2 linked regions of the Nothobranchius furzeri genome follow. The protein of the gene in region 1 binds, or shares a complex with, the protein of each later gene. Links are inferred from orthologs where the notes say so. Each region holds a gene or a part of one and is shown on either strand. Other genes may lie near its edges.

What was found.
Region 2: nod2 (region 1) and map3k20a share a complex: the UniProt entries of both Homo sapiens proteins name them as parts of the signaling complex. The link is inferred for Nothobranchius furzeri from reciprocal best matches to the Homo sapiens genes NOD2 and MAP3K20.

Annotation. Positions count from the first base shown.
Region 1 is NC_091749.1:70,967,722-70,971,528, forward strand, and holds the end of nod2 (nucleotide-binding oligomerization domain-containing protein 2), read left to right. Parts: intron 1-639; coding exon 640-723; intron 724-788; coding exon 789-872; intron 873-949; coding exon 950-1,033; intron 1,034-2,417; coding exon 2,418-2,501; intron 2,502-2,617; coding exon 2,618-2,701; intron 2,702-2,793; coding exon 2,794-2,877; intron 2,878-3,037; coding exon 3,038-3,110; 3' UTR 3,111-3,181; downstream 3,182-3,807. UniProt on the Homo sapiens protein: Pattern recognition receptor (PRR) that detects bacterial peptidoglycan fragments and other danger signals and plays an important role in gastrointestinal immunity.
Region 2 is NC_091754.1:20,955,531-20,959,721, forward strand, and holds the start of map3k20a (mitogen-activated protein kinase kinase kinase 20), read left to right. Parts: upstream 1-1,286; 5' UTR 1,287-1,436; intron 1,437-4,191. UniProt on the Homo sapiens protein: Stress-activated component of a protein kinase signal transduction cascade that promotes programmed cell death in response to various stress, such as ribosomal stress, osmotic shock and ionizing radiation.

The DNA.
Region 1 (3,807 bases):
TTAACTCTTGGAATTAATCATTATGGCCCTTAAAGAGCAAGTCACCCCCAAATCAACTATTTTTTTCCTGATAAACTGTATAAATGCGTGTCTAATCGTGCTGCAGACACGTGTAGTCAGTAGTTTTTGCACTTTAGTGCATTTTAGTAAAAATTTTAATTTTCTGCCTAAAACTGTCAGAGTTGTGCCGTTGTCAGGTAAAAACTCAGCACTGCATTAGAATATAAATCTGCCATTGCTATTGGCTAAGAGGTACCCTAGAATGTTACCTGGTACCATATGATGTCACAATGTCGTTGTGAGCCTGTGTGTGTATTTGTTAGCAGCTCCGCCCTCTCGGTCTGCTAGGCAACAGCATTTGTTGCATTTTTCAAACAGGAAGTAAGAGTTGAGTAAGAATCTGGTAGGGGGTGACTTGCTGTTTAACATATGAAATCGCTGTAACTTGTTAATTTGGCAGACACTGAGCTAAGATTCGATTCCTTGCCTAAAACTTATTCGGAGTGCTAAGAGATCGTGCAAATTCTTGCAGCGTTGACTCATGAGAAAAAGGTGGCGGGCGATTTTAATTCTTTCATTTAACTGATTTTTTACTTCAAGGCAGAGAAATGCCAGAAATTCATGTTGTTTCTTCGTCAGCCTCAGAAACAATAACATCACAGATGAGGGCATCCGAAGACTGACCGCTAAAGTTGTCCACTGTGACAACTTCCAGAAAATTGCGTAAGTCTCCTCAAATTTACGCTGCTGCATCACTTACCCTCCATGACCACCTTGTTTCTGTCTAGTCTCTTCAACAACAGGCTAACTGATGCTAGCACGCTGCACATTTCTCACCTTCTGAAGGCCAAGCAGAGTTTCCTGTCCTTGAGGTCAGCACACGGTCACCAACAACATGAGTGGCACAGTTCAGTCAGACAGATGGAGAATTTCCTTTTCACCCTTTCAGGCTTGGCAACAACAACATCACAGCAGAAGGAGCAAAGCGACTGGCTGAAGGACTGAGACGCAATCATTCGCTGAAGTTTTTAGGGTAAACAGTTTCCTGCGACATGCCATGCTTCATCTTCTGTAAAGGTGGAATAAAATATGTTTTTCTTGCAGCTCCGGCAAGCTACTCTTTTTAAATAGACAGTCCAAAGGTCCAGTCCCCCTTTTCCCTTAAGCCACGCCTACAGAATACAGGAATACGCAATAGTTGTTTCTCAAGGGTTCAGTTTAGAATCGTACAACCGGGGTGTCCCCTAGTCTCTCAAGGGCCACTATCCAGCATATTTTAGTTGTTTCCCTGTTCACCTGATTTTAATCAGCAGGTGATTGAGAGGCTTCACGAGTTGCTGAACAGAGGATTCAACCGCCGAATGAGGCGCATTAAAACAGGAAAACAACTAAAACGTGCTGGGTGGCAGCACTAGACGACTAGGATTCCCCACCCCTGCCGTATGATAGTTTTGTATGCCTGCTAATCTCGTGTGCTGTTTTTATGGTGAAAAACAGAGCAGTTTTTAGCATTCTTAATTTGTTCCCAACTTCAAAACCACAGCAGCTCGGTGCCATCAGCGTTCTGGGAAAAGCCCACAAACAACAGGTGGAAACGTCCAGAACCTGCCTCAAACCTCCTCTCACTCAACTCTTTCCTCTCTGTTGCACCGGTTCTCGATGCACATGTGATACCGAGGAAAATGACTGATGGCTCTGCCGGCTGACATACGACGGGCTGTGTTCACAGACAACAGGTCCGTCACGGGGCTGCTGTTAGCACTGTTGCCTCGCAGCAAGAAGGTTGCAAGTTCAAAACCCGGCAGCAGCCTTTCTGCGTGGAGTTGCGTGTTCTCCTCATTCATGCGTGGGTTTCCTCTGGGTATTCCAGTTTCCCCCACAGATCACAACATGCCCGATAGGTTAACAATTGTGCACCGCTTTGCATAAACGTGTCTGCCAAATAAATAAACATAAACATAAATGTTTCCAAACAAGAATAGAACCCGATTCCAAACAGAACATAAAAACCAACTCCTTAAATTAAATTTGCGAACAATGAAAAGAACAGAAGATTCCGTCTTATACACTAGGCAGCCTGGCTCTGGCTTCGCTTCACGGTCAGCTGCTCCGAGTGGAGAACACACAATTTGCGCACATACATGTAGAGGAATATGTGCAGAAGGAGGATGCACTTTTAATGGATGAATCGGGAACCGATCATTAAGAACGGTACATTCACAATTATTGGATGAGGTTTTACCAAAAATGTACACATCAGAGGCAAATAAATGTATTTCTTTTGCTGACAAAACATCTTTTCTTAGTTGCCACTTGTATGTGAAGAGCATTTCAAGCAATACCGTAATAAAAAGTTCCAGAAAAGCATTCCTACCCACCTTTAGGTGTTTTAAATAATTCCTCCCTTGTCTTTGAAGGCTTTGGGGTAATAAGATAGGAGATGCAGGAGCAGAGGCCATCGCTGGAGCTTTGGAAAACAGCAAATCTCTTGTATGGCTCAGGTAATTTTTGCTTTTAACCTGTGGCATGAGTTTTTTACATGTCAGAATAGCTGCTCCAAACAGATGTTTTCTATTCGATTATCCTACAAGTAATGCAGACATGCATCTGATGCTAGTCTGGTAGGTAACGGTGTAGGCAACGCAGGAGCGCGCGCGCTCTCCGGGATCGTCCGGAACAGCCTGTCGCTGGAGGAGCTGTGGTAGGTCTTTAGCTGCATATTACATTTGTGTTTTCATAAAAGCTATTTTGCTGACCGAGTGAGCTGAGCTGCCTTTGTTTCTCCTGCGAAAGGCTGACACAGAACTGCATCACCAGAGCAGGAGTGGAGTACCTGATTCAAGCCCTGAAGCACAACACTCACATGAAATCCGTTTGGTAGGCCATGCTGTGTGCGAGTGCAACATGTGCTCGCCGGTTGTTTGCATTCAAAATTTTGAGCAATGAGGCAAAAGTCAACGTTATTTTTGGATTTAAACACACATTTCCACTTTTCCATCACTGACTTGTTGATTTATTTTTCTTATATCCTCTGCAGGCTGAAGAACAATGACCTCAGTTCGGAGGAGGTTGAGGAGGTGAAGCTAATCGAACCGAGACTGATTTTTTGATTTGTGTAATCTGTTAAAGAAGTCACTATTTAGTATTGGAAATACTTAGAATAAACATTTTTAAGTGGGAACGGTTATGTTTTATTAGATTCCATATCTACAGGGATACATCTCATGTTGGTGGGAAAAATTGCATCACAACAAATAAATGCTTTCATCTTTTTCTGGGTGGTAATGAAACAGTGACGAAGCTGTTTTTAAAGTAAAAAATGTTCCAATTTAGAAGATTTCATATTTAATTCTTATAATCCACTTTGTTTGAATCTGTTTTCATCATTTTTCTTTTAACCCTCACCCTGACTGATCACACCTCCTCAAGATAAAATCCCATTATTCTAGGGCTGCACAATATATCGTAAATATATCGTCATCGCGAAATCAGCACGCGCAATATGCATATCGCAAAGAACAGATAAATATCATCATGAATGGTCAGCTCAAATGTTTGCGACACATGACGTTTTTTTAACAAATCAAATAGAGCTCTTCACCCATTTGGCCAATCGGGTGGGTTCTCATAGGTTAGATGCCCGCCCCCGAGACGGGCGGCACCTAATTTTGATGGTTAGCAAACACCTGAGTTAGCTTTGCTCTGCTCTTCCTGTTGATTCTGCTTTTCCTGGGATCCACTGATCCTTTTCTTGTTCATTTTCTTTTTCCCTTTCCTCACATCTTTTGCTTTTCTCATTTTTATGAT
Region 2 (4,191 bases), on another chromosome or scaffold:
TGATCTGAGTTTAATCCAAACACAGGCAATCACATGGAGGACCTAATGAGACATCAGATAATGAGATATTGTTTCATTGACTTGTTAAGCCTTTTATTACAGTAATCTGTGATTTTTCAACAACAGTAATTGTTGTGAGATGAAGTACCTCTCACATCGGTGTCATGCAGATATCATATCATCTCCGACTCAAACAGAAGAAAATAAAGCTCTCTGGGTGGTAGGGTTTTCATTTATTAGAGTATTCTTGTAAAATGTAAAAAAATGAAACACTAGGATGCTTTAAAAATGTTAAATATTCATGATGTTCGTTCGTTTTGTATCTTTTTGTATCAAACAATATTTAAACTAATTTATATTAGTAATAAACTTGTACATTTTGTACAGATATTTATCCTGACTTTAGCATGAAGATGATGCAATTTAAGGAGAAATATTTTTAAATTCCTGAGATATTGTAAGCCAGTTAGAAATATTTAGCAGGCATTTGTGTACAATGACACTATTGTTGTATTCTGTTGTGTCATTCTGTCAATATGATGTTTTAGCTCATAGCATGCCAGCTTTTGGACATCTTTATTTGTTAGTAAACAGTTTGAGTGAAATATGTCCTTTTATGGGAACTGGGACAATGAGCATTAAACTGGAACTTTCTAAAAAATCTCAGACTTGTTTCTTCACATGTGTGTAACTAGTTTTATCTGAGTTATTTATTTACCTTTATCTTTAAGAATGGTTTATTATGAGGTTCTCTCGACGTTATTATGGCATGGGTACTTTAAGTGCAAGCACATGTTCTGACTGGTGGAAGGTGTGCTAACTCTGTGGTTTGCCCGGGGTTGCCCCATCATGTGGGTCGTTGGGTTCTTGTCACGTGGTTTATAATAGCCCGGTTATTACAGTTTTGGCTCTCATTACTTGTTGCATGGTGTGTCACGTGACTCACCCCGATTTATATGGAATAGAAGATTAAACTAGAGAGGTAGTCGAAATTTAAGGCTACGTTTCTCTTAAGAGAATCCCTAAATTTTATTTGGGATTAAACTAACTAAATCCCAAATGGGAAAGTCTGGGCGAGCGTGCATGTGAATGCAGTTAGTGACTAGTCAGTCAGTTGCTGTTGTTGCGTCATTGGGCAAGGCACTTAACCCACATTGGCTGCTGGAGGCAGCATTTGATCAGATCTTCCAGCAGGGGGAGCTGTTGTCATCAATTTAGCTCGCAGAGAAATGGGGGCAGTGCAGTTTTTTTTTTTTTTTTTTGCCTCCTCTGCTCCGAGTTGTGCAACTAGTTTAACCAGAACCGGAGATAGTATCAGGAATCAGAAATGAAAGCTCGTCACATGTGACTTTCCGGAACTCTGCTCCCCTTCTGTTTGAAGTTGGTGTCGAACCAGGGTCCGCCGGTTCCGAAGACCTGGAAACTTCTGAATGTCGGTACGTATGTTCTTCAGAAAGAGGACAGCGTGAAAGTGTAAGGGTGGAAATTTAAAGGCATTTTGTGGATTAGGATTATTAGATATGAGTGTGTGGATTATAATCTACAGGACACGTGAAACATATCAGCACCAAAACAGATTTATTGCTGATTCTGAATGTAATTTTATTTCCTCACTGCTGGGCTTTTAGTGATTAACTACTCATTTAGGTCTGATTACAGTAACTACCATGAGCTTTGACACATGGTTGCCAGGTGGGATTACGTTTCCTGCAGCAGTGTTTAATATTAGATGAGAATCAGGCACCTGAGGAGTGCTCCCACATCCCAGTAACACTGGTTTCTTGACTGGTCACACACAATACTGGAGGGGCTGGGCCAATGAGAAAATAGCTTTTGAAGCTAAGTATAGCAGACAGAAGAAAATCAGCAGTAAAAAAGTGGCTCCCCTCTGTGACAATGGAGACATTTCCCACTGTGATGGATAGTAATCCCAATGAAGACGAGGTATAACAGGCTTTTAAAAGCTGTAATTGCTCAGCTGTAAATGGCAAGCCCAGGAACAATAACAGAGCTGCAATTAGCCTCAAATGATGGAATTATTATTATTGTTATTTTTGTATATAAGATGCTTTTATGCTGTTAGAGACCAACAAGATATGTGAAAATCAATCTGACAGCTCCCATCATGAAATGATTGGCCTCAACGTGAGCAGAAAAGCAGAAAAAATAAGGAGAAAACAAGATTTGTGTATTTTTTATATTCAAACATAAATTTTATTTTATTTTCCTGTGTGAGGCCTTAGAGCCAATGAAGTGTTGAATTTACTTAAGTTATGTCAGCTGATTCCCCTTAACCAGTATCAAATGTAAAGGGTAAAATACATTGTTATGTGACGTTAAATTAAAGTAAATGTATATTTTTCTTTGCATTGAAAGAGTAGGTTCAGTGAGAAGACATGTTTTTGAAATATTATTGTTCATCCTAAGTTTAACATGCTTAACCTGCTTACCTGTCGGCGTTAATACAAAGACACGTCCCTTCACGCTCATGCGAGGGTGATGTGTTGGTGGTTCCCCGTGCTACGTATAGATCACGAGGAGGTTGTGCGGTTGCTGTTTTGTCACCTACACTCTGGAGTGAACTGCATTTGAATATTAGACAGGTGCCATCATTGCAGTTTTGTAAGTCATACTTGAAGACGCACTACTGTGTACAAGCCTTTCCAGCACTGGGATCTGTAACATTGCACTAATTTCTTTGAGGACCTTTTTGTGGTTTTTATTTTTTGTATTTTTTTTACAGTTTTTATTGTCTTTTTTATTGACTTTATTGTATGTTCTTATTGGATGCTCTTTTTTTTTCAAATGTTTGTGTTCAGCATCTTGGGCTTCTGCTCAGGTAGTGGAAGGTGCTTAAATAAATGTAATAAATGAAAATGACACAAAACATGCAGGTTTATCGTGATAGTAATCTTCTACCCCTATTTCCTGCAATATCCGCTGAAAGAAAATAGACGTGAAAGCAATCGAGTCAGAAAAAGCCACACAGATGTACGTTACACTGTAAATTGGCATTTATGGACTCACCCACCTTGGATCATAACGGGGAAAGCTGTTGTTTATTTAGCATCCAGGAGAGAGCAGAGCATATCTTGGCTAGTCAACGCTAGCTGTTAGCATTAGCATCTCTACCACACGGCATGACTCCTCCAGGCTTGTGTTATTTGTGGGGATAAAACATCAACGTTGCAGAGCAAACAGTGTCAGTGGTAGAGTCGCATTGCTGTTAGCCAATCAGAGGCGAGATGTCTGAATATCAGGAAATAAGATACCAAATCCTGTCGTGTTCGGCTCAACTCTGATCTGGCTCATTTCTAGGTGGCAGATAGTTGTTAGTTAGTGGCAGAGGAGTTAAAGTAGCTTTCCAGAGTTTTCTCCTTTCAGAAATTATGTATGATTGATCAGAAATCTGTAAAAGTGATTATCTTATCATGTACTGTGAAATAATGTAAGCAATACTTCTTTTTTTTGGCCTAAGCACGCCCCCTGCCCCGCAGAGCTCCATGCAATAGGAAACTGAGCGCCAACCAGAACTAACCAATAGCGTTAGACTACCGCTTCAATGCTTCAAATTTAAGGAATACCTCGGCTGATGCAGAGTCGATGAACTTTTCACGAAAAAGTAAGCCTTCAAAATATAAATATATGAAAACACAACATGACACGAGAATAATACTTGTAAAACAACGTGTTTTAGCTCTGTTTGTCGGCTACAGAAGCACATTTATAAACAAGAAACGCGAAGTCGCCATCTTAATAAAACGGATCGGCAGACTTTTTGTGTGATATACTGGTCAGCCACTAGATGGTGCCATCGGATAAGAGAAATACTCCATGAAGATACTTTTAAGTGGCAACCCCGTAATCGGAAGGTTGCAGGTGTGAGCCCCAGTCAGTCAGTTGCTGTTGTTGTGTCCTTGGGCAAGGCACTTAACCCACATTGGCTGCTGGAGGCAGATGGAGGGACTGGTGGCACCAGCGTTCAGCAGCCTCGCCTCTGTCAGTGTGTCCTAGGATAGCTGTGACCAAATTGGATCACCACCTCCAGAGTGTAAACATGTGCGTGCATGGGTGAATGACCAGTTGTATTGTACAGCACCTTGGGGGGGGGGGGGGGGGGGGGGTTTGTAGGACCTTAGGGGACACTATGTAATAAGTACAGGCTGTTTATCATTTTTTCTTCTTCCTGCC